Linked DNA regions of Drosophila melanogaster. The protein of the gene in region 1 purifies or fractionates together with the protein of each later gene. This does not show direct contact. Each region holds a gene or a part of one and is shown in the gene's direction. Other genes may lie near its edges. The genes, in order: Hibch, Synd and vanin-like.

Region 1 (3,753 bases):
TACCAATCGCCAGGTTTTTTACCCAAATGCTCCCCCAGCCGCACCAGGGCGTGGATGGAGAAGGGACTGCTTTTTGAGGAACTGTCCCCGAACCACTTGACGATCTTCTTATGCATATTGTCCTCGTAAGTCGAGTGCAACTGGGACTCTGAATCATAGCGCCAGCCTGAAGCATAAAGGTTTATTGGTAATCAAACATATTTGTGCGGGTTCATTTAACTTACTTCGCCCTAGGAAGTGACAGATGAGTCCTTGAGCGAAGAGCATCTGACCACTCCTTAGCATACAGCCCCAACCGCAGTCCGAGGTGTAGTTGGAGCCATTCATTATTGGGAACTCTCGACGGTAGGTCATCCAAATCCTACTGTAAAAGTCACGACGAAAGCCTTCGATGCCCTCCTCCCAAGGCTGTTCGCCCACTTGGTTCTCCACCGCGTCCATTCCCAGTTCCTGGGGCACCACAATCTCATCGATCTGCTGCGGATTAAGGGCTGGATACAAGGAGGTTGATGTCGATGTGGCCTGAATGCTGTCGAACGCCGATGTGGCGTTATCGGGGGTGGTATCCGCCCCGCTGGGCAGCTCGGTGATGGAACTTTCCATGCTTACGGGCGGAGTAAAGCGTCGATGATAGCACCGTCCTAGCAGCCACACGGGCTGCTCCTTTGAGAAGCTGGTCTGCCTCATCTTGCCGCTCCAGCCATACTTCACATTGTGCCACATTGCGACGAGCTTGGACTCCATGCCCTTGGTGGGAGTACGGTTTGCCGACAGGTCACCGGGTTCCTCGTTGTGCTGCTCCACGTGACCGCAGCTCGGACCGCTGTTGCCGCCGCCGTAGAGCTGACTGAAGGCGTTCATGAAACGTGATGACGTCGATATTTTGCGCTGCGGAGTCGCTGTCGCAGCGTTTTCCGTCTTGAGGTTCAGATTGGCACCTGATGTGCTTACGGGGGAGGGGGAAGGGACGCGTGGAACGGCGAATACAGTGCGATGAATCGTCTGTATGGGGGCCGCCTGCTCCTCCTCGATGGCGCCGTCCTCCACCAGCGGCAAGGAGAGCGGATCCGCATCCTGGCCGCATATCCGGCTACCCTCTACAATGGTCCCCTCGCCGGCGGCTTCGAAGAGCATCAGTTTTTCGTCGGTCAACTTGGAAAGGAGGCCGTCATAGTTCATCTGGTTGGTGGCCGTGGACGAGGACATGAAAACAGAGGCGGAAGTGGTAGAAGAGCTATGACGCTTTGTCCGCAGCTTGCGGAACTTAAAGAACTGCGGCATTGTAATCTTGGTGCGAGCCCCTTGCTGGCCCTGGCTTAACTGACAACCGACCACCGATTGCGTGCTAATTACAAATGTTTACTCACCGTTTATTTGTTGACAAAATAAGATAAAGTAACTCCACGAAATTTGTTTTTCTTATTCGCGAGAAGTACAATTGCCAATTTCAGTGTTGCCAGACTGCAAATCTGCTCTATTATGAATATGTAGGTAATGTGTGTTCTTTTTTACGTTTATCTACTAATGAGTTCAAAATGAATAGTGAATTTTGTTATCAACAGGTTTGTGTTAAACTATTTTTAAACAATTTGTATCTTTATCTAAAATTCTTATACATATAATATTTGAATTAATAAATTAAAAGGCGCCTGGTATAGGTCTGCCCTTGGCATGTCCATTTAATAGTAATATTTTACGCGGAAAACGATTTCTGGAACACCCTTATTTACTTCCGGCATGTGTGCGGTCTGGCAGCTCCGCGACAAGAATGACCAGCTGTGCGGGTGCTAAAATTCTATTGCGCAACGCTGAATTTCTAAACACTCGCTTCGCCCCACACACAACATTACTGACGACAGCCGCTCAAAATGGTAAGTAATGCAAATTCCTGCAAATAGAAGCGCTTAGCTAATCGAAAACAATTCGATGTCGCCGTCCAGCAGGGCCCAATTCAAAGGTTGGTGTACACATTTGGTCATCGCACCTGTAGCCAATTGCCGATGATCGGCGGAGCAACGATATCCCAAACAAAACCAACAACAATGGCTCTCTCCGTTCGCCAATCCTCCTCCTCCGTGCTGGCCACGGAGTCCTCTAACAAGGGAATGATTATTCTGAACCGGCCCAAGGCGCTTAACGCCATCAACTTGGAGATGGTACGCAAGATCTACAAGCACCTGAAGAAGTGCGAGAAGTCCAAGTCGCTGGTGATCATCAAGGGCACAGGTGACAAGGCCTTCTGCGCCGGTGGAGATGTGCGCGCTCTGGTCGAGGCTGGCCCTACGGATGAGTCGAAGAGCTTCTTCCGGGAGGAGTACAGCACGAATGCCCTGATCGGAAACTATAAGATTCCCTACATCGCCATCATTGACGGTATTACCATGGGCGGTGGCGTGGGTCTGAGTGTGCATGGCAAGTACCGGGTGGCCAGCGATCGGACACTGTTCGCCATGCCCGAGACGGCGATTGGCCTCTTCCCGGATGTGGGTGGATCATACTTCCTGCCTCGACTGCAGGGAAAGCTGGGCCTCTATCTGGGTCTCACAGGATATCGACTGCGCGGAGCCGATGTCTATTACTCAGGCATTGCTACGCACTACTGCGAGAGCAGCAAGATCCCTGATCTGGAGACGGCTCTCCTTAACTGCCCGGATGCGGATGATGTGCCTGAGCTGCTGCAGAAGTACCATTCCCCGCCAGAAAAGCCCTTCTCGCTGCAGCCTGTCCTGGAGCAGATCAACAAGAACTTTTCAGCGGACTCGGTGGAGGGGATTCTAGAGAATCTGCAGAACGATGGCAGTGAATGGGCCAAGAAGACGCTTGAGGTGAGTGGGGCACAGTTTACTAAGTGATAAGAACACAATCGGATGTTAATTGGCTGGGCCAATCATCGCTTGACGCGCGCTTTTAGCGCCTAAATATTTGATCCGTTTCCAGCCAATTAGCAACGCTTTAGTTGCTGCACGACTTTTCTTAACTGAATAAGTTACACTAGCTCACAAACTCACACCCCACACCTTGTTGCATTTTTCTATTAGAGTTGAATTTTATTATTGAAATCAGACACATTGCTTTTTTCTTTGTTTTAGACGCTCTCGAAGATGTCTCCCACCTCGATGAAGGTTACGTTCCGTCAGTTGGAGCTCGGATCACAGCTGTCGCTGGCTCAGTGTCTTATTATGGAATATCGTCTGGCCGTGCGTCATCTGGAGCGAAGTGATTTCAAGGAGGGAGTGCGCGCCCTACTCATCGACAAGGATCAGAAGCCCCAGTGGCAGCCAACCAAGCTGGCCGATGTCACTGAGGAACATGTGCAGTGGTTTTTCCGCAAGCTACCGGACACCGAGGAACTCAAGCTGTAATGTAGCAAGCTTAGTTTTGTTTTTGTTTGAGCCTTGGCATCCAATCCTGTTTGTCTTCCGTTGAGCCGCTCATTCTTATATGCACACAACTTAATATCTTTGTATATATCATTGCAAGCTTGAGTTATGTTATGCATGGTTCCTTGCCTGCCGTTTTGCAATATTCTTTATATATCTTTAGCGTTCTGTGGCCACAGTTTGATGAGTTCTGTCGGCTAATTTTCCGCAATCTCTTCTCTGTTTCATTCCAACAGCGAATAACTTCGAGGAAGAATCCTATTCGCCGGTATTTACCAATAACGATTGTGAAATTCAATGCATTTAAATATATGATATACATATATGCCTATATATATTATGTACAATTCGTAGTCCTAATACAATCAATAAT
Region 2 (3,753 bases), 5.5 Mb from region 1:
CTTTTTACATTTAAAGTACTTAAATAATATATTATTATTCTCTTTTCATTGATGTTCGTAGTTGATAGGTGTATTGTTTAGTTACAACGAATTTTTGTAAAAAGACTAACTAGTTAATATTTAAATATATTTTATCTTTAAGGTTCATATTTGATATACATAGTTATTTGCTAATAAATTCCTATGTAAAAAACAAGAGAAATTGCGTAATTCAAATTAAATCCAACTCTTATAATATCTAAGTCGTATAATTTGTTTACAAACAACTTTATTTTGTTTACAACAAAATAAAAACTTATCCATTTGAAAAGCCGTTACTTAACGAATCGTGGTTACGGTCACACTACAGCGATCAGCTGTTGGCGACCGCACTATTTTGTTTATTCCATTTTGTTTGACCATGTCGGAAGCCGATGAAAAGTGTCACTTGTAAGTAGTTAACAAGTAATATTAATTATAGCGGTTCAATATATATTAATCTCCTGCAGCTGTCGCGAGGTGTCCTTCAAGTACACCTGTCCCAAGTGCAATGCTTTGTATTGCAGCGTGGGATGCTACAAGTCCAAGGAGCACCTTAAATGTTCCGAGGCTTTCTACAAGTCCTGCATTCAGGACGAGCTGACCCAAAACACGGTAACGCAGGAAAGCCAGGAGGACATGCGGAAAATATACGACATACTGAAGAGGATGAGAGAAACGGACAGTGGTTTCAATCCCCAGGAATTTGATACAGATGGCCTGGAAAATAGTTTGGACTCGGATGGAGGCGAGGAAGGAGAGTCAGAAGAAGATGAGGCGGAAGAAAACGTCACCGAGGGGGACATACTGGATGAAGACCTGGAGGAAGACATTGCAACTCGACTGAAAGGCGTTGATATCAACGATGCGGATGAAGTTTGGAGCCGGTTAACTACAGAGGAGCAAGATGAGTTCCAGAAATTGATCACCAATGGAGATATCATGAAGCTTATGCCAGACTACAAGCCCTGGTGGATCAAGCCGAAGAACTCTAAGATTGTGATTATACCTACACCCGAAGAAGCTGCCAAGAAAGAGAGCCGTGTTCCCGAAATTTTCGGGAGCATTGCCAAATTCTCCGATATATGCAAGAAAACTCCGTCTCCGTGCCTGCACTACAATTTGTGGAACATACTAAGCGCCTACGCCTGTGTGGCTCGTTTCTTTGGCGGCGAACAGAGGACCAATGCCAGCGAGGCAGTGGCCCACCTTGTCAATCTCAGCGCCACCTTAAAGTACGGCACCAACTTCGAGGATGCTGAGGACGCTATTGTCTCCGTAGAGATGGAAGCCATCACCACGGGTAATGGTCCTGCCGGCGCGGCTGCAGTTGGAAGTGCTGCAGGAGGTGCCAATTTCCTCGTCGACAACAGGGAGCAGCTGCAGCAGGATGCCCGCCAGTTGATGGCTACGAAGGAGCACAAGTTGGCCGCCCTTAGTGATGTTCTCTATCTGCTGCAGCAGACGAAGGCAATCAGTCGCCGTAAGAATACCCAGGAAGCCGAGTTCCAGAAGCTGTTCGCTTTGGCCAGCGGAAGTGTGCAATTGGATCGCACCAAACTGGCGCAACTGGTTCGCAAAATCGAGTTTATGCTGTCGTATGTGGCGCGGGAAGAAGTCCTTTAAGCAATCCTCTAAAATAAACATTTCAAAATAATTCTGTTTTTATATTGTCCACAAAATTTGGAGCGGTATTGACTATAGATTGATTGTTATTTTATTGTTTTATTTTACTTGGAATTTAAATACAACTATGTATAATTAGTGTACACATTTTGATTGGAAACTTCAGTATTTTAAGGACTTAAAGAACAAATTGGTTTAAGTAAAACTTGACTTTGTGCTAGTACTGTAACTAGTACTTAAAAATATGTACAGATGTCTTAAAAATAAATGTATATCCTAAATACATTTCGGTATTTTTGTATTCGTATGGAGCGGTATTTTCAGCTAGCCGCGAGGTGTATTTGAATGGTCGCGAAACGGTCACACCTCACATAGTTTTTTTAGTTGGCGATTCCAGACACACACTCGAGTTGTAGTGCTTTTTTACGCTATTTTGTTATTGGTAGGTTGTCGCCCTGCTTCGGTATGAACAAGTGCCAGAGACCCAAAGCCAAGGATTATTTAACAACCATTTAAATGCAGTGCAGCTGCAGCAGCAGCAACAACAAAAGCGATCGCAATTTAGAACAGAACATTTCATGTAAACGCGTTTGGGTGTAGCGGAATTTCGCTTCCCGTGTGTTTGTGTGACCTAGCCGAGCGTGTGTGCGTGTCGGTGTGCGTCTGGCAACAACAAAATCCAATCGGCCAGCAAGTGCTCTTCGTACGCTTCGCCTGCTAAAAATTAGTGCACAGCGAAAGCATTTTAATAGCAGCGCCCCAAGAAAACCTTATGTAAGGTGTGCTGGAAAACGATGCAAATATTTACAGTAGAAACGGTCGAGACAAGTTCAATCTCAAAGATAAACGAGTTTCTTGGTTGTTTGGCGGAGGGGGATTTCTTATCGCCTAAGTGTGCGACGTGTTGGTTTAGATGTGCATATACGTATGTGTGTGTGTGTGTGTGGCGCGAGTGCTTGTGAGAGCGCCGTAAAGGTGCTTATCTATCTCCACAAATATGCGAAGTATGCGTCAACCTGTTTGTAAACTTTCTGCTGGCCATTTCCACACGCAAAACACGAAAATCGCACTGAGCCGCGATCCTATATTTATATTTATAGCCGATGATGGGGAAAATCCGTAAGCGCATCGTGAGTCGATGACGCCCAAATCAAGTCAACCCAAGATACAAGATTCCACATTCAGCAGACCCAACATCACCAATCTACACATGTGTGTAGGTGATTAAACTTCAGCAGAGGTTATTATACATATATAAATAAGAAAGCATGTATATAACCGGTCAATGCTGCTGATAACATAACCGTTATTCACCATACGGGTGTGTGCGAGTGGAACTCAAACTGACTGCATTGTTTACAAACAGCTGATGCAGGGAAACTCCACTCCACTGATAAGATACCAAGATTTCCCATCGCCGAGTATGAAAAAATTTAGCTCGCTACACAGAGAGAATTGAAATGTTAAATGTTGTCACACGTAAGGGTCTCCAATACGATGTACACTGCTGCTCTTAGGTTAGACGCACAATCGTTTTTTTTTTAACAAAATCGATCATTTATTTGCATGCTTTTTTTAATTGTCCAAAATGCTTTTCTTATCAAAGTTTTCTGTTGGTCATTGAATTAGATGCAGCTTAAATTTCTTCGTATTGCGTGGACAAGTATAAACTGTTGTATTGAAAAAATATAACAAATAAACGAATAAAGTGTTTTCGAGCTACATTTGAAGAAAAAATGGGTAAAGCTGCTGCTTATTGGAACGTCAAAAAGTAGACTTCCTACACTCGCAAGGATTGCCTAATCGGAACATTGCCAAACAGATAAATCGCAGCTGCAGAACTGTTGATAGATATTTGAAGGTTCCAGAGGCATATGGGAATAACTTCAAAGGAAAGAAAAAAGCACTATCAAAGCAAGCAGAACGCCAAATTGTTAGAATTGCTTCGAATTCTAATTTTCGAATTTGTCCGGAGTAAAAACAAGCGTATCAACTGTTCAGCGTACAATCAGAAATGCAGAACACCTGAAGCGTGTATGTATATTAAATTTCAAATTCAATTTTTGGGATCTCATTTATCTGGGTTACAAAATATGGGTGCATGAGAAT
Region 3 (3,753 bases), on another chromosome or scaffold:
AATTTATCGATGATATTGCAACTGAATGTTTTTTTTTTATTTCTTGGAAGAGCATCCTGTTTTCCTTGTTGGGCGAATTAGATTTCTCTTTCAACCTTTTTGTGCCCCCTCCCCTTTCTTTGCATTCACCCACGTCGGCTTTTGTTGCTGTTTTTGTTGGGACCTCGTCTTAGCTTTTAACGTGTTTTACCGTTCGTTTCTTTTTGCGCATAAAATGAGCAGGTAACAGGCTTGTTGTGTGTGTGCGGGTGTGAGTGAGTGTGTGTGTGTGTGCGTGCACGGTTGAACTCCCATGGGTAAATTTTCGTATTTAAAATATATGACCAAGACATTTTCAAACATTATTTTTTAATTTTTTATTCCTTTTCATTTTTTTTTTTTGCCTTTTTCGTTCTCCTCAGCCTGCTTTGCAAACTTTTTGCGCACTTTTGCTTGCCGCAAATCAATTTGCCAGGACGGGAAATAAGTAGAGCGAAGTGGGGCTGAAAAGAAAGGAAGCGGAAAGGATTGCCGAGTAGACTTTGTTAGTGGAGTTCCCCCGAATTTATGCTGCATCCAACCGGAGAAGACGAACGCCTTTTTCCGGGGGCTTTGAGTCTGCAGTGGAGCGTATGGAAATGCATTAAGTTCCGAGATGACTGCACGTTTTGGGATTTGCGAATGGGATTATCTCGGCACGAAAAGAGATCTTTATACTTATAAATGCTGCTGCATATTTATGGCAACTGAATATACCCGATAATGCTTAAAAGTGGGGGCAATGTCGATGTCGACTCCGCAATCCCGTCGAGTACTTTGTGGCCCAAATTAGCCGGTGGATGGAGTTTGCCACCTATTTTCATGGCTGACGAATAACTTTGGATAGCAATTGATGGAAAAAATGCACAAAATATATAGACAAACCAGACCAAGTTTCGTAAACAAAACGGGTTTCAAAAAATATTTAACGCAATTAGCTTAGCTGTTGCCTATCAGACTCGAATTTAATTCAGTTAGTATGCAAGCAACAATAAAAAAAAAATCATTTCGCAAAACAATGAAATCTTGTCGACAAGTGTTATTTGCCACAATAGCTACAGGTAATTGCAGATAACATCGAAATGTGGAGATAACATCTTAGACAGCTATATAAATATAAATGTTCTGATAACTCGACAACAAATCGAAAATGTGTACGATAAAAATGGATCAATTTGGATATGTCCTTTAGATGCAGAGCACTCAGCTAGTTTGATCAGAACATTTATGACCAACACGTTTTAATAATAAATGCCATAAGAAAAGCCACCTGCCCTGTGGCATAAAAGAAAATCAAAGGAAACCTACTAACATTGGCAGCCCAACTCTTGCCATTTATTTATTTTGCCAATTGTGGTAATGGATGGTAAACATTTAATGGGCGCAAATAAAAGTCAATGTTGTAGTAAAAATCGAGACAAATCAATTGATAAAGATGTCGATCATATAGTATAGTGTCGAACGGAGAGACCATCGGACTTGGCTAGTCTGGGTTGTGGCGATAAGACAGCCGGCAAAATAGTTGGCCCAAGCGCAGCCAGTCCAATGTACAACGCAGCGAACCCACTAATCATGCTCACGGTTAGCGGACATGACTCCCGGAATAGAACAAAGCCAGAATAACCCATAAAAAAAAACCTTTGAAAATTAGCGATTCAACCAATCTTGAGCTGGCTATCTGGCCATTTTCTGGCTTTTTAAGGCAGAAATTCCACATCTTAATTAACTAAGGAATTGATGTAAATGTAATTCTAAAAAGCTTAAATTCCTAGTTCAATAGGGTAAAATATATATATCCTACTCTCTGTGATATTTACTTTAGTTTTAGGTTCATTATCACTGGTAGTATTGCACTGCGAATATTGGCAGCACTGAAAAGAGCGAACCATTCGATGTTCATAGACCAGACCCCAAAGATAAGATTAAGTAGTTCCCGGTAAATGGTGGTTACCACTTCGGTTGGCCACTATAAAAGCCTCGATGCCTGAAGTTGTGCCAGTCATTAGCGATTCTCAGGCTCCATACGAAATGTCGAATACCTGGTGGTGGCTTTCAGTAGTGTTACTAATCTTAGGGCTAATGCCTGGCATGAGTCAGCAGGTTGGGTTTCTAATTGGCAATTGGCAATTGGTGGATTAGTTTTGATGGTTAACATAATTTTCAGGCGGCCCTGGCCGAATCGGATTACTATACGGCCGGAGTGGTGGAGTTCAAACAGTCGATCTTAAGTCTATCGGCCTGGTCGGATTCCCTTGCTGGCTATGTGGAGATCATAAACTCTGAGAACGCCAGTGCCACCGACATCATTGTGTTTCCCGAGAGCACACTGAACTCCGCGGGTTCCACGACCTTTGTGCCCAATCCCGAGGATCAGATAAACCCGTGTTTGAGTGACCCCAATGCCACCTACTATGAGGAGTTTCTGGTGACCCTGTCGTGCGCGGCCCGCAATGCCAGTAAATACATTGTGATCAATCTGACCGAGAAGCAAAAGTGCGAGGATATTCCCGAGGATACGAGGCCATGTGCATCTAACGGACTGAATGTTTTCAACACCAATGTAGTGTTCGATCGTCAGGGAGTCGTGGTGTCCAGGTACCGAAAGGTTCATCTCTATGGTGAAGCAAAGAACAGCACTTTTCTGCCCGAGCTGATCACCTTCGAGACAGACTTTGGGGTCACCTTCGGTCATTTCATCTGCTTCGACATCCTGTTCTACACTCCCGCCCATCAACTCATCGTGGAGCAGGGTATTACGGACTTCGTGTATCCGGCCATGTGGTTCTCCCAACTGCCCTTCCTCACGGGTAAGATATAGACATGGGCGATAAGGAAAGCGGGGGCTAGTTCACTGACATGTGTCTCTTATCGCCGACAATGGATTGCTGATGATGGCTCTCGCAACCTCTCGAGATGGAGTGCCGGGAACCGATTATGCGTTGGTATCAAGGCTGTAAAAACTAAAATGCCACTAATGGCAGGTGATTAAGCAGCACAGCAATGGCTTGTAATTATAAACTAGGTCTTATCGCAGGAGCTATATATTAGAGTCCTGAATGAGTAGGTCAAAAAGTAAGCGTCTAGTTTGCACTGTATGAGCTTTATCTTTTTATGCTTGCCACGCGAATTCTTCGGAATAGTAAAACGAATAGGAAAATATTACATTTGTTAAATGTCTTATTCCACAGCTGTTCAGACGCAACAAGGTTGGGCCTATGCCAACGATGTGAATCTCCTGGCGTCTGGAGCCAGTCGTCCCTCCATTGGCAATAGTGGATCGGGCATCTATCACGGACGTTCCGGCACTTTGACCAGTGTCATGCGCCAGGACTCCGGCGAGAGGGCCATCTATGTGGCCCAGGTGCCCAAGTATACTCGCAGTAGATCCCTGAAGAAACGTGCGAAGAGGAGTCTACAGGAGATCCAAACCCGTCAGGTGGCCTCAAGCTCGAGTTTCTACATGAAGCGCGATTACGTGGAGAACTATGAGTCTGAGTTGCTCAAGTTGGACGAGGGAACTAGTGGTGCTATCAATAGAACCATCTGCCAGGGCAGCTTTTGCTGTAACTTCGACATAGCGTGGAGATCCTTGGGTACAGCGACGGAGAATGGTAGCTACTATAGCTATCGATTGGGAACCTACGATGGCTGGCGCAACGAGAACAATGTGGATGCCAATTACATACGTAATTGTGCGCTGTTCACCTGTTCTGGGGACTCCATCGATGATTGTGG

What was found.
Region 2: the proteins of Hibch (region 1) and Synd purify together in Drosophila melanogaster (affinity purification with mass spectrometry, with the first as the bait; one large-scale study listed by BioGRID). This does not show direct contact.
Region 3: the proteins of Hibch (region 1) and vanin-like purify together in Drosophila melanogaster (affinity purification with mass spectrometry, with the first as the bait; one large-scale study listed by BioGRID). This does not show direct contact.

Annotation. Positions count from the first base shown.
Region 1 is NT_033777.3:15,355,450-15,359,202, forward strand, and holds the start of Hibch (3-hydroxyisobutyryl-CoA hydrolase), read left to right. Parts: upstream 1-1,779; 5' UTR 1,780-1,868; coding exon 1,869-1,871; intron 1,872-1,940; coding exon 1,941-2,825; intron 2,826-3,031; exon of another isoform or gene 3,032-3,089; coding exon 3,090-3,362; 3' UTR 3,363-3,753. Other genes in the region: Atg4b (Autophagy-related 4b), read right to left, coding at 1-166, 225-1,179.
Region 2 is NT_033777.3:20,830,788-20,834,540, forward strand, and holds the start of Synd (syndapin), read left to right. Parts: upstream 1-2,011; 5' UTR 2,012-2,086; intron 2,087-3,609; exon of another isoform or gene 3,610-3,678; intron 3,679-3,753. Other genes in the region: CG31223 (uncharacterized protein), read left to right, coding at 401-429, 489-1,644.
Region 3 is NC_004354.4:6,200,836-6,204,588, reverse strand, and holds the start of vanin-like (vanin-like), read left to right. Parts: upstream 1-2,029; 5' UTR 2,030-2,046; coding exon 2,047-2,118; intron 2,119-2,182; coding exon 2,183-2,825; intron 2,826-3,206; coding exon 3,207-3,753.